Macaca mulatta: one gene and its partner. The protein of the gene in region 1 purifies or fractionates together with the protein of each later gene. This does not show direct contact. Links are inferred from orthologs where the notes say so. Each region holds a gene or a part of one and is shown in the gene's direction. Other genes may lie near its edges.

What was found.
Region 2: the proteins of SLC16A11 (region 1) and EMB purify together in Homo sapiens (co-immunoprecipitation; 3 studies listed by BioGRID and IntAct, counting the BioPlex papers as one, with this or other methods). This does not show direct contact. The link is inferred for Macaca mulatta from reciprocal best matches to the Homo sapiens genes SLC16A11 and EMB.

Annotation. Positions count from the first base shown.
Region 1 is NC_133421.1:8,512,895-8,522,700, reverse strand, and holds SLC16A11 (monocarboxylate transporter 11), read left to right. Parts: upstream 1-3,430; 5' UTR 3,431-3,745; intron 3,746-4,002; 5' UTR 4,003-4,008; coding exon 4,009-4,210; exon of another isoform or gene 4,211-4,370; intron 4,371-4,448; coding exon 4,449-4,592; intron 4,593-4,755; coding exon 4,756-5,523; intron 5,524-5,610; coding exon 5,611-5,840; 3' UTR 5,841-5,898; downstream 5,899-9,806. Other genes in the region: SLC16A13 (monocarboxylate transporter 13), read right to left, coding at 7,567-7,769, 8,474-9,211. UniProt on the Homo sapiens protein: Proton-linked monocarboxylate transporter. It catalyzes the transport of pyruvate across the plasma membrane.
Region 2 is NC_133411.1:58,041,063-58,050,768, reverse strand, and holds part of EMB (embigin), read left to right. Parts: intron 1-4,017; coding exon 4,018-4,204; intron 4,205-4,438; coding exon 4,439-4,527; intron 4,528-9,706. UniProt on the Homo sapiens protein: Plays a role in the outgrowth of motoneurons and in the formation of neuromuscular junctions.

The DNA of each region.
Region 1 (9,806 bases):
TTATCAGTCATTATTATAAACATTATTAATCATTAGCTTTTAATATTACTCTTTGTTGCATTACTAATATAACCTAGGAATAACCGGCGGGTGTAGGGTCAGGTGCTAAAGGGACATTGTGAGAAGTGACCTAGAAGGCAAGAGGTGAGCCTTCTGTCACGCCCACATAAGGGCTGCTTGAGGGCTCCTTGGTCAAGCAGAGACGCCAGTGTCTGGGAAGACACCCATTACTTAGCAGACGGTGAAAGGGAGTGTCCTTTCCTTGCAGGAGTCAGAGAACACTCTGCTCCACCAGCTTCTTGTGGAAGGCTGGATATTATCCAGGCCTGCCCGCAGTCATCCGGAGGCCTAAACCCTTCCCTGTGGTGCTGTGCTTCAATGGTCACCGCTCCTTGTCCGCTTTCATGTTCCTCCTGTACTCCTGGTTCCTCTTTGAAGTTCGTAGTAGATAGAGGTAGAAATAGTGAAAGTCTTAAAGTCTTTGATCTTTCTTATCAGTGCATAGAAGAAAACGCTGACGTATGTTGCCTTCTCCATCTCTACTTCGGCTACCTAAAAGGGAAGGGACCCTTGTCCTGTGATCATGTGACTTGCTTCACCTTGTCAATCACTTAGAAGATCCATGCCCCTTACCCTGCTCCCTTATCTTGTATGCAATAAATATCAGCACGCCCAGCCGGTCTGGGTCACTACTGATCTCCATGTCTTGATGGTAGTGGTCCCCAGGGCCCAGCTGTCTTTTCTTCTATCTCTTTGTCTTGTGTATTTATTACAGTCTCATCTCCGCACACGGGGAGAACACCCCCTAAGCCCCGTAGGGCTGGATCCTACAGTAGAGCTGGAATTCAACCCCAGGAAATCTAACTTGGGAGTCTATTCTCCTAATCTCTGTGCTATTTTATTCCGTCAGCAAAAGATGACAAGTTTTGCTAAGAATATAGGGAGCCTGAGGTAGAAGAGGAATGTACCCTTGCACAGCCCCAGTCCCAGGCTCTAGGATACCCTTCTGGCTTCGTAAGCATCCTGCGAAGGTGCTCAGCATCACTTAGCACAACTCCCAGACGCAGAGGGCCCGGTCTTCGCTCTGAGTGCCCTGCATTTCTGCCTCACCATGGGGAGACGGTGATTCGTTTAGCTTGGAGCAGAGTCTTCAGCAGCCTTCTCAGGAGGCAGGATCCCTGCCCTCCCCGGTGGCTGAGGACCTGCTTTCACAACAGCACTCCGGGCTGGGAAACCGGTGGGGCCACTTTCCTAAGGTGTGTCTGTCACCTTAGACCTTCATGAACAGGACGTTTCAAGCAGAGAGCATGACATTTGCAAAAATTGAGGAGTGAGGAAAAGCTAGGCATGTCCATGGAGCAGAGAAGATAGTGGCTGATGGGAGGCTGCAAAAGGGAGGGAGGAGAGACGGTTTGGAACGGTAACCTAGGTCTACCTTTGATTCTTGTAAAAGGCCTGTACAGAGTACAGAAATGTAATTTTTTCCCTCTTTAGGCAGTGGAGAGCCGTTGAAGGTCATGCTGTGTTTTTCATGTTTACAGTTGCGCTCCTTAAGAAGCGTTTTTCTTGTCTTTACAGGCAGATTCTTTCCCAACAATTAGGAAACACTGCCATCATGTGGCTCGGTGGATGCATGATCCCAACTTAGGTTGCTGAATGTTCTATCCTATGTTTAATAATTAAACCAAAGAACACACCTGGGAATTCAAACAGCTGAGGTAAAGAATGTCAACCTGTCAAAAAGGACATTTTCTATAAAGTGTTTCAAAAAATCAATACCTGGGTTCCATGACCTGATTTCTTACTTTGCTTTCAAAATTCTAACCTGGCCAGGCATGGTAGACTGTAATCTCAGCACTTTGGGAGACCAAGGTGGAAGGATTGCTGAAGTCCAGGAGCTTGAGACCAGCCTGTGCAACATACTGTGACCCCCTCTCTACAAAAAATGAACAAATTTAGCCAGGCATGGTGGCGTGGAGCCTGTAGTCCCAGCTACTCGGGAGGCTGAGTTGGAGGATCGCTTGAGCCTGGGAGGTCGAGGCTGCAGGGAGCCATAACGGCACCACTACACTTCAGCCTGGACCAGACCCTGTCTCTGTAAATACATACATACATACATACATACATACATACGTAAAAAATAAAATTCTAACCTAAGTGTTTAGAGATTCTGATCTCAAGAATCCTTTCTATTCCCAGTGACCCCTTATTTTAGAATCCTGTGTTTTCTGTCCCTGCAATGGTTCCGCCCTTTCCAGGGCAGTTTGCATCAAGCTGTATCCAGGATATTTCTCTTAACTGTGCCAGATTTTGTTTCAGTTCCAGGATTGTTCTCCCTGTAGGTCCCACAGTTGGACAGACCTAAATTCAAATATTCACACCATTTTTTCCCTGTGAGCTTCAGTTACTGCATCTATAAAAGAGGCACGACACCAGCCGGGCGCGGTGGCTGACTCCTGTAATCCTAGCACTTTGGGAGGCCAAGGTGGTGGATCACCTGAGGTCATGAGTTCCAGACCAGTCTGGCCATGGCGAAACCCCATCTCTACTAAAAAATACAAAAATTAGCCAGGAGTGGTGGCATGTGCCTGTAATCCCAGCTACTCGGGAGGCTGAGGCAGGAGAATCGCTTGAACCCAGGAGGCAGAGGTTGTGGTGAGCCAAGATCTCGCCACTGCACTCCAGCCTAGGCTACAGAGTGAGACTCCATCTAAAAAAAAATAAATGAATAAAAGAGAGCAACAACTTCTTCATAGGGTTATTATAAGATGAAATGATAGCATGTGTAAACAGTGCCTGGCACATCACAGGTCTTCACTTTGAGAGAGTCCTGTTTCACCCTCTATCCTTGGGGGCCTGTTATTTTATTTATTTATTTATTCATTTATTTTTGAGACAGACTCTTGCTCTGTCGCCCAGGCTGGAGTGCAGTGGCATGATCTTGGCTTACTGCAACTTCTGCCTCCTGGGTTCAAGAGATTCCCCTGCCTCAGCCTCCAGAGTAGCTAGGAATACAGGCTCGTGCCACCATGCCTGGCCAATTTCTTTGTTTTTTTAGTAGAGATGGTGTTTCGCCACGTTGGCCAGGCTGGTCTCGAACTCCTGACCTCAGGTGACCCACCCATATCGGCCTTCCAAAGTGCTGGTATTATAGGCGTGCACCGTGCCCGGCCTGGGGGTCTGCTATTCTAAGCACAGCTCTGGCACTCAGTGGAAGTCTGTGATCTGATATCCGAGGTCTACCTGGTCCTAAGCAATGTTCCTGAAAACAAAACTACTCATCCCCTCAGGCTTTTGGGACCATCCATATTTCCCCGCGTTGGCGGTGGACCCCGGGCTCGGGCTCGCTGGGGTTTGCAATCCACGTGTCTCCCCTGCGCGCAGCAGGCAGCAGGTGCATGGGTGTGAGCAGGGCAGGGCCCCTCGGCATTCATTCCTCTCCACTCCCTCCCCGGGGCTGGGGGTTGTGTGTGTACATAATTCAATCCCCGTGGGACTGGTGTCTGGCCTCACCCGCGGCTTGGCTGATTGGTTGTTTCAGCTCGCCCCCGCCCTCCGTACCCCCGGCGTCCCAGGTGGCTCGGGCCCCTGTGGTGATCTCTGTTTACCGAGAGAGCTTGTCCAAGTTGGGCTCCATCGCTGCTCTCGCTCCCCTTCGGGGCCCCCGCCCGCCTGGGAAGCGGAGAGAAAGCCGGGCCCAGCCCTTCCTCGCCCTTCCCCTCCCCGCACAGCCCGGAGAGGTCGGGTAAGGGGGAAGGAGTGTACGTGGGACGGGGAGCCCCGGGCCTGGGGGATCTGGCTGTCCCCGTCCTGGTACCTCGCGCGGACCCGGGAGTTCCAGCCCTAGGCCTGGCTCCGGCTCCCTCTGCTCTGCGCCATCGCGCTCGGGGTGACCCGCCCACCCCGGGGGAGCAGCCAGAGGCTGGATCTCAGGGATGCCAGCTTCCCAGCGGAAGCACAGGCGTAGAGGCTTCTCTCACAGGTGTTTGCCTACCCCCGCAGACGGCGATGACCCCCCAGCCCGCCGGACCCCCGGACGGGGGCTGGGGCTGGGTGGTGGCGGCCGCAGCCTTCGCAGTGAACGGGCTGTCCTACGGGCTGCTGCGCTCGCTGGGCCTTGCCTTCCCTGACCTTGCCGAGCACTTTGACCGAAGCGCCCAGGACACTGCGTGGATCAGCGCCCTGGCCCTGGCGGTGCAGCAGGCAGCCAGTGAGGCGGGCTCTGAGGCGAGAGACGGGAACGGGGAGGAGGGGCTGTGAGTGGAGGGATGGGAGACCCCCCTGATTACCCGACAACCTGAGAAAGGACGACCGGCTCTAGAAAAGAGTGCATCTTAAGGTCAAGGAGAGGAACCATTAGTTCGAGGGAGGTAAACAGCCAATGAGAGGTGTTGGAGAGAGTTTGGGGGCCCGGGGGCGTGTCTTTTATTGACTCCGCCCCCTTCCAGGCCCGGTGGGCAGCGCCCTGAGCACGCGCTGGGGAGCCCGCACGGTGGTGATGGTTGGGGGTGTCCTCGCCTCGCTGGGCTTCGTCTTCTCGGCTTTCGCCCGCAGTCTGCTGCACCTCTACCTCGGCCTGGGCCTCCTCGCTGGTGAGGGAAGGGGGATGCCCGGGTCATTCAGGGTGAACTGGGGACAGGAGCTTATGGGACTGGGGTAGCGAACGAGGCGAGGGCCTGGTGCGGAGAGCAGGACTGGGAATGCTGGGGAGGGCGTCCCCAGTGCCGGCCCACATCCCCTCCCATTCATTCGCAGGCTCTGGTTGGGCCCTGGTGTTCGCCCCTGCCCTAGGCACCCTCTCGCGTTACTTCTCCCGCCGTCGAGTCTTGGCGGTGGGGCTGGCGCTCACTGGCAACGGGGCCTCCTCGCTGCTCCTGGCGCCTGCCTTGCAGCTTCTCCTCGATACTTTCGGCTGGCGGGGCGCTCTGCTCCTTCTCGGCGCGATCACCCTCCACCTCACTCCTTGTGGCGCCCTGCTGCTACCCCTGGCCCTTCCTGGCGACCCCCCAGCCCCACCGCGTAGTCCCTTAGCTGCCCTCGGCCTGGGACTCTTCACACGCCGGGCCTTCTCGATCTTTGCTCTAGGCACAGCCCTGGTTGGGGGCGGGTACTTCGTTCCTTACGTGCACTTGGCCCCCCACGCTTTAGACCGGGGCCTGGGGGGATACGGGGCAGCGCTGGTGGTGGCCGTGGCTGCGGTGGGTGATGCGGGCGCCCGGCTGGTCTGCGGGTGGCTGGCAGACCAAGGCTGGGTGCCTCTCCCGCGGCTGCTGGCCGTATTCGGGGCTCTGACTGGGCTGGGGCTGTGGGTAGTGGGACTGGTGCCCGTGGTGGGGGGCGAAGAGAGTTGGGGGGGTCCCCTGCTGGCCGCGGCTGTGGCCTATGGGCTGAGCGCGGGCAGTTACGCCCCGCTGGTTTTCGGTGTGCTCCCCGGGCTGGTGGGCATCGGAGGTGTGGTGCAGGCCACGGGACTGGTGATGATGCTGATGAGCCTCGGAGGGCTCCTGGGCCCTCCCCTATCAGGTAAGGACCTGAGCTCGCAGATCTGCCTACAACTATCCTCTGCCCCTGGGGTTAGGGGCTTCTAAATTCCCTTACCCATCTCCTCAGGCTTCCTAAGGGATGAGACAGGAGACTTCACCACCTCTTTCCTGGTGTCTGGCTCTTTGATCCTCTCCGGCAGCTTCATCTACATAGGGTTGCCCAAGGCGCTGCCCTCCTGTGGTCCAGCCTCCCCTCCAGCCACGCCTCCCCCAGAGAGGGGGGAGCTGCTTCCCGCTCCCCAGGCAGTCTTGCTGTCCCCAGGAGGCCCTCGCTCCACTCTGGACACCACTTGTTGATTATTTTCCTGTTTGAGCCCCTCCCCCAATAAAGAATTTTTATTGGGTTTTCCTGAAACCTCCAACTGTTCACCCATCTAGGACCCTGAAAATATTCTACTTAAGACAGCCAGAAAGGCTGGTTCAAAGGAACAGGATCCCAGGAGGCCCTGGGTATGAAGAAGGGCGACTGTCTGTCCAGGCAACCCATTTCTCTTTGCCCAAGTCCTGGCCGGAACAGGGAATCTTTGCAAAGTTGTCTGGCAGCCGGTTTCAGTGTGTTGCTGGGGTTGGAGGTGGGTTGCTCGTGGGTGCTATCTGCCCCATCTTCATGTCCCTTACCCTAGTCCCCAGACCTCCCAGACTAACTCTTCCCTGCATTTCAATCTCCTTCTATGACCCTGAGGGAAATACAAGAATCCTAGGCTCAGACTTCAGTTCTACCAAAGCTATCCACACATCTATAACCTGTGCCCTCAGCATTCTCTCAATTTCTTTTCTTTCTTTTTCTTTCTTTTTTTTTTTTTTTTGAGACAGAGTCTTGCTCTGTCGCCCAGGCTAGAGTGCAGTGGTGCAATTTTGGTTCACAGCAACCTCCGCCTCCCGGGTTCAAGCAATTATCCTGCCTCAGCCTCCCCAGTAGCTGCGATTATAGGCACATGCCTCCACGCCCGGCTAATTTTTGTATTTAGTAAAGACGGGGTTTCACCATGTTGGCCAGGCTGGTCTCAAACTCCTGACCTCGTGATCCACCCGCCTCGGCCTTCCAAAGTGTTGAGATTACAGGTGAGAGCCACTGCGTCCGGCCCTCAATTTCTTTTCTAAGCCACAGGGATAATGGGCAAGAGGGAGGTATGTGGTGGCGGCCTGGAGAACAGAGTCCAGGGTTAAAATGCCTTGGGTCATCAGAGCTCCTGGACATCCTCCTCCACTTCCAGGCATGACACCATTTGGCCAACCCAAGCATACGGGCCCCAGCTCATTCTGAGGTTGTGATTATTATCTATTTTTCTTACTTGATTTTATCTCAAAGAGACAGTCATGTTTCCCAAACATATATCTTCAGAGAAGAAACTTGGGAGGCAACACTAGAGATGGTATATAAAACATGGTAAGTCTCTTGGCCTTTGATTTTCACAGTTGATTCACACTCAGTGAAGCAGGAACTCCCGGATCCTTTAAAACTCCTGGGTCCTTTAGAAAAGGTTAGGAAAGGCTGGGTGCGGTGGCTCATGCCTGTAATCCCAGCACTCTGGAAGGCTGAGGAGGGTGGATCACAAGGTCAGGAGTTCGAGACCATCCTGGCCAACATGACGAAACCCCGTCTCTACCAAAAATACAAAAAAAAAAAAAAAAAAAAAGGCAAATAGCCAGGAGCGGTGGCTCCCACCTGTAATCCCAGCTACTTGGGAGGCTGAGGCAGGAGAATTACTTGAACCCGGGATGCGGAGGTTGCAGTGAGCCAAGATCATGTCACTGCACTCCAGCCTGGGCAACAGAGCAAGACTCCATCTCGGGAAAAAGAAAAAAAAGAAAATGTTAGGACAGTAAAGGAGGATAAATAAGAGTCCTCAACAAAATACAAAAATACAAAGGGTTGGCACACACATTGCAGGAGCCCCAGGCCTGCTCTAGGGGGAGGCAGATGGAGAATCTTAAGGCACTGTGGTTCTGTGGAGACCAAGACGTGGCAAGAGAAGACCTGGAGCTGTCAAGCTCTGGCTTTCCGGGCCTGACTCTGTGAAGTTCAGTCCTCTTCCAGCCCCTCCTTCGGTAGGGAAACTTTAATATCCGGTGCTTCTGTTACAAGGTCCTGGGGCCTGGAGGTAGTAGTTGAGAAGCAGGAGAAGAAGTGGGGCAGGGTGAGGAGAATTCCACTCCCTGAAATAAGGAAGGCCCCAGCCACCACAAAAGAAGCCGTGTAGTTGCCTGTCACATCCCGGAGGTAGCCTAGGTCCAAGAGAGAAAAACAATACACATGAGTGATCTATTTACTGGGGCTGATGTCTCAGATACATTTTTGGGTGGAGGGAAGACTTATCATCTCAGAGGAGTTAGAACTCCCATGGAGTTGGATAAACTTGAGAACTCTGGTTTCCCAAAAGGGCCTCAAAAGTTAATTTCAACCACCTCCCCGCCTTCAGAAAGGACCTCCAAACCAGCCTGCAGGGATCTGGAGATCCAGATTGAGTGAGGCATACTTGTGCCTTTCTTTCTGGCAACTGTAGCCTTTCCAAAGCTTCAATTAATGGGTAAGAGGAGATAAAGGTCTGAAACTTCTGGCAACCTGAGCCAGCAGAACTTTGACCAGGTGCCTCAGATACCTGGTTTGGGGCCCAGTGGGCCAAAGGAAAGGGTGGACAGTGGAATGCTACGTCTGTGTCTGGCCAGGTTCTGCCAGGTCCTCTGAAAACCCGAGCTGTAGGCGCCCTGCCAAAGGTTCCACTTAGCTTCTCTGTCTTTCCGCTCAGACTTTCCCAGCCCCAAGTTCTTTGCCCCATGGACCCATTTCAGAGATGCTATGGTTGGCCACACAGGCTGTGTACTGTACTACACCAGAGGGCAATATTCACATACACTGGAATGAGAATAGTACCCTCCCCTAGTTGTGCAACATGGCAGCCCTCACCCCCTGGGAACCCCATTCCACTTACCTGACAGAGGAGGCCCCAGCAGTCCCCCGATGCTCTCTATCATCTGCAATAGTCCCAGGCCACAGTAAATCCTTTTAGTCCCTACTAGTTCAGGTAGTACGGAGAAGGCCAGTGGGGCCAGAGCCCCTGATGTGAAGCCGTAGGCCACAGCCAGAGCCACCAGGGCTGTGGGAGCCCGAGCTACAGGGAACAGGGCTAGTGACACCCCAGTCAAGGTGGTCCAGAGCATCAGGAGTCGTGTCACAGGCCCTGGGACTGCATCTCCCAGCCATCCAGAGACCACGCGCCCCACGAGGTCAGAAATAGCAGCAACTGAGAGTAGGAAGGCAGCAGGTAGTGGATCCCAATCCAGGTCCTGGAGATGGGCCACCAGGTGGAGGTAGGGAATGAAGTAGCCAGTGTTGATCAGGGTGAGGGCAACAGTGTAACGGAGGAAGGGGCCATGATGGAGGAGGGAGGTGAGTTGGGCCCTGGGACCACCCACAGCAGGGTCCTCAGCTAGGGAAGGTGGGCGGAGGAGAGCACCACAGGCCACCAGGTGGAGGGAGAGGGCAGACACCAGCAGTAGGGACCCTCTCCAGGCGTAGTGGCTGAGGAGCCACTGGAAAAAGGGGGCAAATGCGAAGGAGGAGAGGCCCACGCCTGTCAGGGCGAGCCCGGTGGCCAGGGATCGACGGCGAGAGAAATAACAGGACAGGCAGGCCAGGGTCGGAGCAAAGGTCAAAGCCCAGCCAGAGCCTGTCAAAAAGGAAGAAGTGGGGTTAGGAACTCTTAGGGAGCTCAAGGCACCCAGTAATCCCCGCATTGCCCAGCAGCAGAATGTAGCACTTGCTGTGGAGTCCAACAGACCTGGGATACAATCTTGGCTTGGATACTTTCTAGCTGTGTAACCTTGTGTGTTTTAACACTCCCAGCCTCAACCTTCTCAACTGCAAAATGTAATAATACACTTTTTGGGATTGTGGAAGATTAGAGACAAAGTTTGTAAGGTAATTAGCACAGAACTTTGGAGTTAGACCTGGGCTCTACCATTTCTGGCTGTGTGACCTTCATTTGCCAAGTTGTATAAGCTTTAGAGCTTTTCCTTAGCTGTAAATAGAATAATGATATCGATTTCACAGTCACAGTACCTAGCACCTTTTTTTCTTTCTTTCTTTTTTTTTTTTTTTTGAGATGGAGTTTCGCTCTGTTGCCCAGGCTGAAGTGCAGTGGTGCGATCTCAGCTCACTGCAAGCTCCACCTCCTGGGTTCACGACATTTTCGTGCCTCAGCCTCCCCAGTAGCTGGGACTACAGGCGCCTGTCACCACGCCCGGCTATTTTTTTTTTTTTTT
Region 2 (9,706 bases), on another chromosome or scaffold:
GTGGAGGTTCTAATTTTGCAAGTAAAGAGCATTATGGTTAATAGTTGAATCCAACAAAGGAGTGCCAAACTGAGAAGTAAAGAGACCAGAGAGCAAAATCCTGATGGGCACCAACAATTGAAAGGTAGTTGGAATAATTTGGTGTGGCTAGCAAAATGTTTAAAATATACTAGGATAGTGAAATAGAGCACAGTAAGGGGAACTGCAAGGAATAAGGTAATCTCTGGCAATATATGTATTCTAGAGACATCAAATGTTATTTTTCTTTTTGAGCATTAAATTCAATTCAGCAGTTTGCAGTCATACAAGCAGTTATTTCAAGCATGTGCTCACAAAGTGCTTCGCACGAGCTGTACTTCACTATCTGCAAACCTTGTACCTGGTCTTTGCTTATGGAAGCATTTCGTAAAGTTTCAAATGTAATTAAAAGTGATAGATTTTTTTTTTTTTTTGTGAGACAGGTCCCTGCTTTATCATCCTGCCTGGAGTGCAGTGGTGCCACCTTAGCTCACTGCAGCCTCAACTCTTGGGCTCAAAATATCCTCCCACCTCTGCCTACGACTAGATGGGACCAAAGACATGCACTATGAAGCCTGGCTAATTTTTTCATTTTTTTTTTTTTTTTTTTCCCAGAGATGAGGTCTCACCATGTTGCCCAGGCTGGTCTAGAACGCCTGTGCTCAAGCAATCCCACACACCTCAGCCTCCCAAATTACTGGGATTACAGGCATGAACCACTGCACCTGACCATTTTATTTGAGTTGTATTATTTTTCTTTCTACATTTGGCTCTGCATAGTCCATTTAATCATACTATACCATTGTTGAGAATGAGAAGAGCGTGAGAAATTTGTATGATGCACTACCGTCTTCCAAACACAACTCTTTCTCTTCCCCTTAAGAGTAATTACCACTATTCTGATTTTTATGCAGTTACTTTCTTGTTTTTCTATATTGTTTTATTACCCAGGTATGCATCCCTAAATATTACAGTTCAGTTTTGCTTTTCTTTTAATGGAATTTTTTGAGTATCTTATAATCTTCAGGTGCCCGAAACATAGCACCTGACGTCCAATACAAAGACATCTCTCTCCCTTTTAAAATTTATGTGTTGAAAAAACCAGGCTGGGTGCGGTGGCTCATGCCTGTGATCTTAGCACTTTGGGAAGCTGAGGCAGGCAGATCACGTGAGGTCAGGAGTTCAAGACTAGCATGACCAACATGGTGAAACCCCATCTCTACTCAAAATACAAAAAAATTAGCCAGGCTTGGTGGCGGGTGCCTGTAATCCCAGCTACTTGGGAGGCTGAGGCAGGAGAATCTCTTGAATCCGGGAGGTGGAGCTTGCAGTGAGCCGAGACAGCACCATTGCACTCCAGCCTGGGCAACAAGAACGAAACTCCATCTCAAGCAAACAAACAAAAAAGACAGAAAAAGAAAAAAAACAGATCATTTATTTTGTAGAATTTTCGCAGAATCTGGATTTTGTTGATTACTTTCATGAAATGTAGGTTAATGTGTTCTTCCATAATCCATATTTCCTGTAAACTGAGAATTGAATCCAGAGACTTAACCAGTTTGAAGAACCTCCTCAGCACCTTTTCTGACAAGACCGTATCCTAGGTAGTGGGGTATTCTTCCTCAAGAGAGACATAATTCTGTTTTTGAAATTATTGCCCCAGTTGATGCAAAATGCCTAGATTCATGATTTACTAGGGATTGCATCATCATTATGGTATATTTGTATGATTTCTTTTTTATTCATTTGCTGGAATTTTTCTATAAAGAGAACATTGACTTTCTCTACTGTTTGGTTAGCCAGTGATACAGTTAGTGTAGGACAAACAAGGTACATGCTGAACGTTTTTTTTTTCTTTTTTCTTTTTTTTTTTTTTTGAGACGGAGTCTCGCTCTGTCGCCCAGGCTGGAGTGCAGTGGCCGGATCTCAGCTCACTGCAAGCTCCGCCTCCCGGGTTTACGCGATTCTCCCGCCTCAGCCTCCCGAGTAGCTGAGACTACAGGCGCCCGCCACGTCGCCTGGCTAGTTTTTTTGTATTTTTTAGTAGAGACGGGGTTTCACAGGGTTAGCCAGGATGGTCTCTACTCCTGACCTCGTGATCCGCCCGTCTCGGCCTCCCAAAGTGCTGGGATTACAGGATTGAGCCACCGAGCCCGGCCTGAACATTTTTTCTTTATTTGCCACTGTTCAAAATTAAAGTAAGCTTTTTTATATTTTCCGTAAGAGTGTGTGTGTGTGTGTGTGTGTGTGTGTGTGTGTGTGTGTGTGTGTATGTATTATCGGAGAGTTAGTGGTTGGGAACCTGAGGGTTAAACTGAAGAAAGAAAAGACAAGTAGAGGCTCTTACTGCTCTTGTTCTAGTGCACCCCTTATTTTATTTTATTTTTTTTTTAACCAGTATCCCAGATTGGATACTGGTGGAAAAAAAAAGAGCTCGTACTTACCTGCTGGGTCAGAGGTCCTGAAATCTCAGGCTTTGGAAATGGGGTTGGAGTGGAAGGGTGGGGAGTCCTAACCATTCCGTATTCCTTGCCAAACTGTCAAGGAGAACTTTTTTCTATATAATTTCAGGCTCAGTGAATTAAACTGACAAAAGATAGATTAACAGAACAAAAAACATACTTAATCACATGTGGACAAAAGTTAGAAAAACATGTAGCTCAAAGGGGCAGTTAAAAGTAGGGGCTTATATACCATCTTAGTAGGGTAAGAAGAGGAGGAGAAAGGCCTTTTATGGAAAAACAAATGAGTTTTAGGAAAGATAAATGAGCCCTTTAGATAACAGGTGGAAGATATGATAGTTTTGTGACAGTGTCTGTTTAGGTGTGGTGTGAAGACTTCTCATCTTCAGTGATAAGAGTCCATTGTCCCTGTTGCTGCTAGGGAGGGGATTTATGACAATAGAGGTTTTTTGGAGTTGCTTTGAAAGGCTCTGCTTTTAGTCAGAGTAGCTATTTTAGGAACTCAAATGCCTTCTCAAAATAATTTGTATGCTATCCTGGCATATTCTGGACCCCTTCAGTGTGTGTGTGTGTGTGTGTGTGTGTGTGTGTGTGTGTGTGGTGTGTGTGTGTGGTGTGTGTGTGTATTGTTTTCCTTTTAAGATAAACACTTCAACTTGTGTGTGTGTGTGTGTGTGTGTGTGTGTGTGTGTGGTGTGTGTGTGTGGTGTGTGTGTGTATTGTTTTCCTTTTAAGATAAACACTTCAACTTCCCTAAAGCTTCTCTAAGGGTTAGCTCCTTCTCTTCCCACCTATAGATGGGAAGAGAAATTGAGAACCTTTCAGACTACTTTTTAGGTACAAGTTTTAAAAATTTGCTAAGAGGGAAGGTCTAATGTTAAGTGTTCTTATGATAATCAATCGATCAATCCAAAATAAATAAGATATCTATTTTGAAAGTCAAAAAAAAGATAAACACCTTATGAATTCATACTGATACTGAAATTCAGTTCAAATTCAGAACTACAGGATGCTTATTTAAATTCTCTGTCCTGTACCTATGTCTATATCCAGTCCCTACGGGTTCTTAAGAAGACTAGGAATGGTTAGAATATAATATATCACTCAAATCCATGTTATACAAAAAACATTCTCGTAATAACTACCAACAACATGATTACTCAAAATTATTGAAACAGGCATTCCATTCTCACCCATGAGTGTGTTGTATTTACAGTTGTGCTGTTTTTACACTGTCAGAGCATACAGCACATGTTATTGAGTACTCTGTACCCTATATTCTGCTTATTACAGAGCTTAAGGAGATAACTATCACAGCTTTAGGTTTTTTTTAATTGTGTTAATGTTGGATCAAAACATTTCTTTAGGTGTGCATATAAAAGGGAATAAGAAAGGGAACCAACTATGTTGATAGAGGAATAATTCTTCAAATGAATGAAATTGTCAATAAAACACTTCAGTTAATAATTTAAAAGGTTTTATATATTAGATTCCTCTGAATATAACTTTCACATTTTGTCCTCTTTTGTGCTAATAGAACATTCTAGTATGCCAGTAGAAAAAAATATCACTTTAGAAAGGCCTTCTAATGTAAATCTCACATGCCAGTTCACGACATCTGGGGATTTGAATGCAGTAAATGTGACTTGGAAAAAAGACAGTGAACAACTTGAGAATAATTATCTTGTCAGTGCAACAGGAAGCACCTTGTATACCCAATACAGGTGAGTATACAAATTTTAACCTACCTTGTTTGCCAAAAGTAGCTTAATTCTAAATATTTTTGCTGACTGAGCATTCTTCCCTCTGCAGCCACTTGAATGTTATGCTAATATTCTAATTTGCATATTAACAGAATTATTTCTATTTTAAAATTTTGATTAATGGCTAAGTCTTTTCATTTTCATTAAGAAGGTTTTGAGAACTAAGCCTATATTAATAACTTCAATTATCTTTAGGTTCACCATCATTAATAGCAAACAAATGGGAAGTTATTCTTGTTTCTTTCGAGAGGAAAAGGAACAAAGGGGAACATTTAATTTCAAAGGTCAGTATTAATAGCTTGAGGAATAGTTAATAACTTCAGCACTATGTTCTTAGATTTCTCAATCCTGTAATTTTAAAATTATTTTTACAATAATAAACATAATATAGCTGAAAGTAAGTCATATGCTTTCCAGAGTCACAAGAGGTAACCTTGAAAATGGTCTTGTATCCCCAAGTCAATTTCCTTTCTGCTTCTGTTCCTCGGCTTAAAGCACAGGTTTTAGTTCAAAAGGATAGCCTACCACATTATGAGTGAATTATGAGAGTCACATGAATTTCTTTATTTACACCTCTAAATTCATAGTTTTTATAATAGTCCTCCACATTTCTAAGTTATTGTGGTATCAGCTTCTGAGAGCGTGGGTGGATGTTCTATATCCATAGCTCCATGACATGGGATTTTTTTTTATTATTATTATACTTTAAGTTCTAGGGTACATGTGCACAACGTGCAGGTTTGTTACATATGTATACACATGCTGTCTTGGTGTGCTGCACCCATTAACTCGTCATTTACATTAGGTATATCTCCTAATGCTATCCCTCTCCCCTACCCCTACCCCAGAATAGGCCCCTGTGTGTGATGCTCCCCTTCCTGTGGCAAAGTGTTGTCATTGTTCAGTTCCCACCTATGAGTGAGAACATGCGGTGTTTGGTTTTCTGTTCTTGCGATATTTGCTGAGAATGATGGTTTTGATTTGAAATTGTGGTTTTGATTTGCATTTCTCTGATGGTGAGTGATGATGAGCATTTTTTCATGTGTCTGTTGGCTGTATAAATGTCTTCTTTTGAGAAGTGTCTGTTCAAATACTTTGCTCACTTTTTGATGGGGTTGTTTGTTTTTTTCTTGTAAATTTGATTGAGTTCTTTGTAGGTTCTGGTTATTAGCCCTTAGTCAGATGAGCAGAGTGCAAAAATTTTCTCCCATTCTGTAGGTTGCCTGTTCACTCTGATGGTAGTTTCTTTTGCTGTGCAGAAGCTCTTTACTTTAATTAGATCCCATTTGTCAGTGTTGGATTTTGTTGCCGTTGCTTTTGGTGTTTTAGACATGAAGTCCTTGCCCGTGCCTATGTCCTGAATGGTATTACCTAGGTTTTCTTCTAGGGTTTTTATGGTTTTAGGTCTAATATTTAAGTCTCTAATCCATCTTGAATTAATTTTTGTATAAGGAGTAAGGAAAGGATCCAGTTTCAGCTTTCTACTTATGGCTAGTCAATTTTCCCAGCACCATTTATTAAATGGGGAATCCTTTCCCCATTTCTTGTTTTTGTCAGGTTTGTCAAAGATCAGATGGCTGCAGATGTGTGGTATTATTTTGAGGGCTCTGTTCTGTTCCATTGGTCTATATCTCTGTTTTGGTACCAGTACCATGCTGTTTTGGTTACTGTAGCTTTGTAGTATAGTTTGAAGTTAGGTAGCGTGATGCCTCCAGCTTTGATCTTTTAGCTTAGGATTGTCTTGGCAATGCAGGCTCTTTTTTGGTCCCATATGAACTTGAAAGCATTTGTTTCCAATTCTGTGAAGAAAGTCATTGGTAGCTTGATGGGGATCGCATTGAATCTATAAATTATCTTGGGCAATGTGGCCATTTTCACAATATTGATTCTTCCTATCCATGAGCATGGTATGTTCTTCCATTTGTTCGTGTCCTCTTTTATTTCACTGAGCAGTGGTTTGTAGTTCACCTTGAAGAGGTCCTTCACATCCCTTGTAAGTTGGATTCCTAGGTATTTTATTCTCTTTGAAGCAATTGTGAATGGAAGTTCATTCATGGTTTGGCTCTCTGTTTCACTCTTATTGGTGTATAAGATGCTTGTGATTTTTGCACATTGATTTTGTGTCCTGAGACTTTGCTGAAGTTGCTTATCAGCTTAAGGAGATTTTGGGCTGAGATGATGGGGTTTTCTAAATATACAATCATGTCATCTGCAAACAGGGACAATTTGACTTATTCGTTTCTTAATTGAATACTCTTTATTTCTTTCTCTTACCTGATTGCCCTAGCCAGAACTTCCAACACTGTGTTGAATAGGAGTGGTGAGAGAGGGCATCCCTGTCTTGTGCCAGTTTTGAAAGGGAATACTTCCAGTTTTTGCCCATTAAATATGATATTGGCTGTGGATTTGTCATAAATAGCTCTTATTATTTTGAGATATGTTCCATCAATACCGAATTTATTGAGAGTTTTTAGCAAGAAGGGCTGTTGAGTTTTGTCAAAGGCCCTTTCTGCATCTATGGAGATAATCATGTGGTTTTTGTCTTTGGTTCTGTTTATATGCTGGATTACATTTATTTATTTGCGTATGTTGATCTGCCTTGCATCCCAGGGATGAAGCCCACTTGATCATGGTGGATAAGCTTTTTGATGTGCTGCTGGATTCGGTTTGCCAGTATTTTATTGAGGATTTTTGCATTGATGATCATCAGGGATATTGCTCTAAAATTCTCTTTTTTTGTTGTGTCTCTGCCAGGCTTTGGTATCGGGATGATGTTGGCCTCATAAAATGAGTTAGGAGGATTCCCACTTTTTCTATTGATTGCAATAGTTTCAGAAGGAATGGTACCAGCTCCTCATTGTACCTCTGGTAGAATTCGGCTGTGAATCCATCTGGTCCTGGACTCTTTTTGGTCAGTAGGCTATTAATTATTGCCTCAATTTCAGAGCCTGCTATTGGTCTCTTCAGGGATTCAACTTCTTCCTGGTTTAGTCTTGGGAGAGTGTAAGTGTCCAGGAATTTATCCATTTCTTCTAGGTTTTCTAGTTTATTTGCCTAGAGGCGTTTATAGTATTCTTTGATGGTAGTTTGTATTTCTGTGGGGTCAGTGGTGATATCCCTTTTATCATTTTTTATTGCGTCTATTTGATTCTTCTCTCTTTTCTTCTTTATTAATCTTGCTAGCAGTCTATCAATTTTGTTGATCTTTTCAAAAAACGAACTCCTGGATTCATTGATTTTTTGTGTCTCTATCTCATTCAGTTCTGCTCTGATCTTAGTTATTTCTTGCCTTCTGCTTGCTTTTGAATGTTTGCTCTTCCTTCTCTAGTTCTTTTAATTGTGCTGTTAGGGTGTCAATGTTAGATCTTTCCTGCTTTCCCTTGTGGGCATTTAGTGCTATAAGTTTCCCTGTACACACTGCTTTAAATGTGTCCCAGAGATTCTGGTGTGGTGTATCTTTTTTCTCATTGGTTTCAAAGAACATCTTTATTTCTGCCTTCATTTCGTTATGTACCGAGTAGTCATTCAGGAGCAGGTTGTTCAGTTTCCATGTAGTTGAGCAGTTTTGATTGAGTCCTGAGTTCTAGTTTGATTGCACTGTGGTCTGAGAGACAGTTTGTTGTAATTTCTGTTCTTGTACATTTGCTGAGGAGTGCTTTACTTCCAACTGTGTGGTCAATTTTGGAATAAGTACGATGTGGTGCTGAGTGGAATGTATATTTTGTTGGTTTTTGGTGGAGAGTGTGTAGATGTCTATTAGGTCTGCTTGGTGCAGGGTTGAGTTCAATTCCTGGATATCCTTGTTAACTTTCTGTCTCGTTGATCTGTCTAATGTTGACAGTGGGGTGTTGAAATCTCCCATTATTATTGTGTGGGAGTCTAAGTCTCTTTGTAAGTCTCTAAGGACTTGCTTTATGAATCTGGGTGCTCCTGTATTGGGTGCATATATAGTTAGGATAGTTAGCTCTTCTTGTTGAATTGATCCCTTTACCATTATTTAATGGTCTTCTTTGTCTCTTGATCTTTGTTGGTTTAAAGCCTGTTTTATCAGAGACTAGGATTGCAACCCCTACTTTTTTTGTTTTCCATGTGCTTGGAAGATCTTCTTCCATCCCTTTATTTTGAGCCTATATATGTCTCTGGATGTGAGATGGGTATCCTGAATATAGCAAACTGATGGATCTTGGCTCTTTATCCAATTTGCCAGTCTGTGTCTTTTAATTGGACCATTTAGTCCATTTACATTTGAGGCTAATATTGGTATGTGTGAACTTGATCCTGTCATTATGATATTAGCTGGTTATTTTGCTCGTTAGTTGATGAAGTTTCTTCGTAGCCTCCATGGTCTTTACATTTTGGCATGGTTTTTCCAATGGCTGGTACTGGTTGTTCCTTTCCATGTTTAGTGCTTATTTCAGCATCTCTTTTAGAGCAGGCCTGGCGGTGACAAAATCTCTCAGCATTTGCTTGTCTATAAAGGATTTTATTTCTCCTTCACTTATGAAGCTTAGTGTGGCTGGATATGAAATTCTGGGTTGAAAATTCTTTTCTTTAAGAATGATGAATATTGGCCCCCACTCTCTTCTGGCTTGGAGAATTTCTGCCGACAGATCTGCTGTTAGTCTGATGGGCTTTCCTTTGTGTGTAACCCGACCTTTCCCTCTGGCTGCCCTTAACATTTTTTTCCCTCATTTCAACTTTGGTGAATCTGACAGTTATGTGTCTTGGAGTTGCTCTTCTCGAGGAGTATCTTTGTGGTGTTCTCTGTATTTCCTGAGTTTGAATGTTGGCCTGCCTTGCTAGGTTGGGGAAGTTTTCCTGGATGATATCCTGCAGAGTGTTTTCCAACTTGGTTCCATTCTCTCTGTCACTTTCAGGCACACGAATCAGATGTAGATTTGGTCTTTTCACAGAATCCCATACTTCTTGGAGGCTTTGTTCATTTCTTTTTACTCTTTCTTCTCCAAACTTGTCTTCTCGCTTCATTTCATTCATTTGATCTTCAATCGCTGATACTGTTTCTTCCAGTTGATCGAGTCGGTTACTGAAGCTTGTGCATTTGTCACGTAGTTCTCATGTCATGGTTTTCATCTCTTTCAGTTCGTTTATGTACTTCTCTGCATTGGTTATTCTAGTTATCCATTCTTCAATTCTTTTTTCAAGGTTTTTAATTTCTTTGGCCTGGGTACATAGTTCCTCCTTTAACTCTGAGAAGTTTGATCGACTGAAGCCTTCTTCTCTCAACTCATCAAAGTCATTCTCCATCCAGCTTTGTTCCATCGCTGGGGATGAGCTGCATTCCTTTGGAGGGGGAGATGCACTCTGAATTTTTTAATTTCCAGCTTTTCTGCACTGTTTTTTTCCTAACCTTGTGGTTTTATCTGCCTTTGGTCTTTGATGATGATGTTGTACTGATGGTTTTGGTGTGGGTGTCCTTTCTGTTTGTTAGTTTTTCTTCTAACA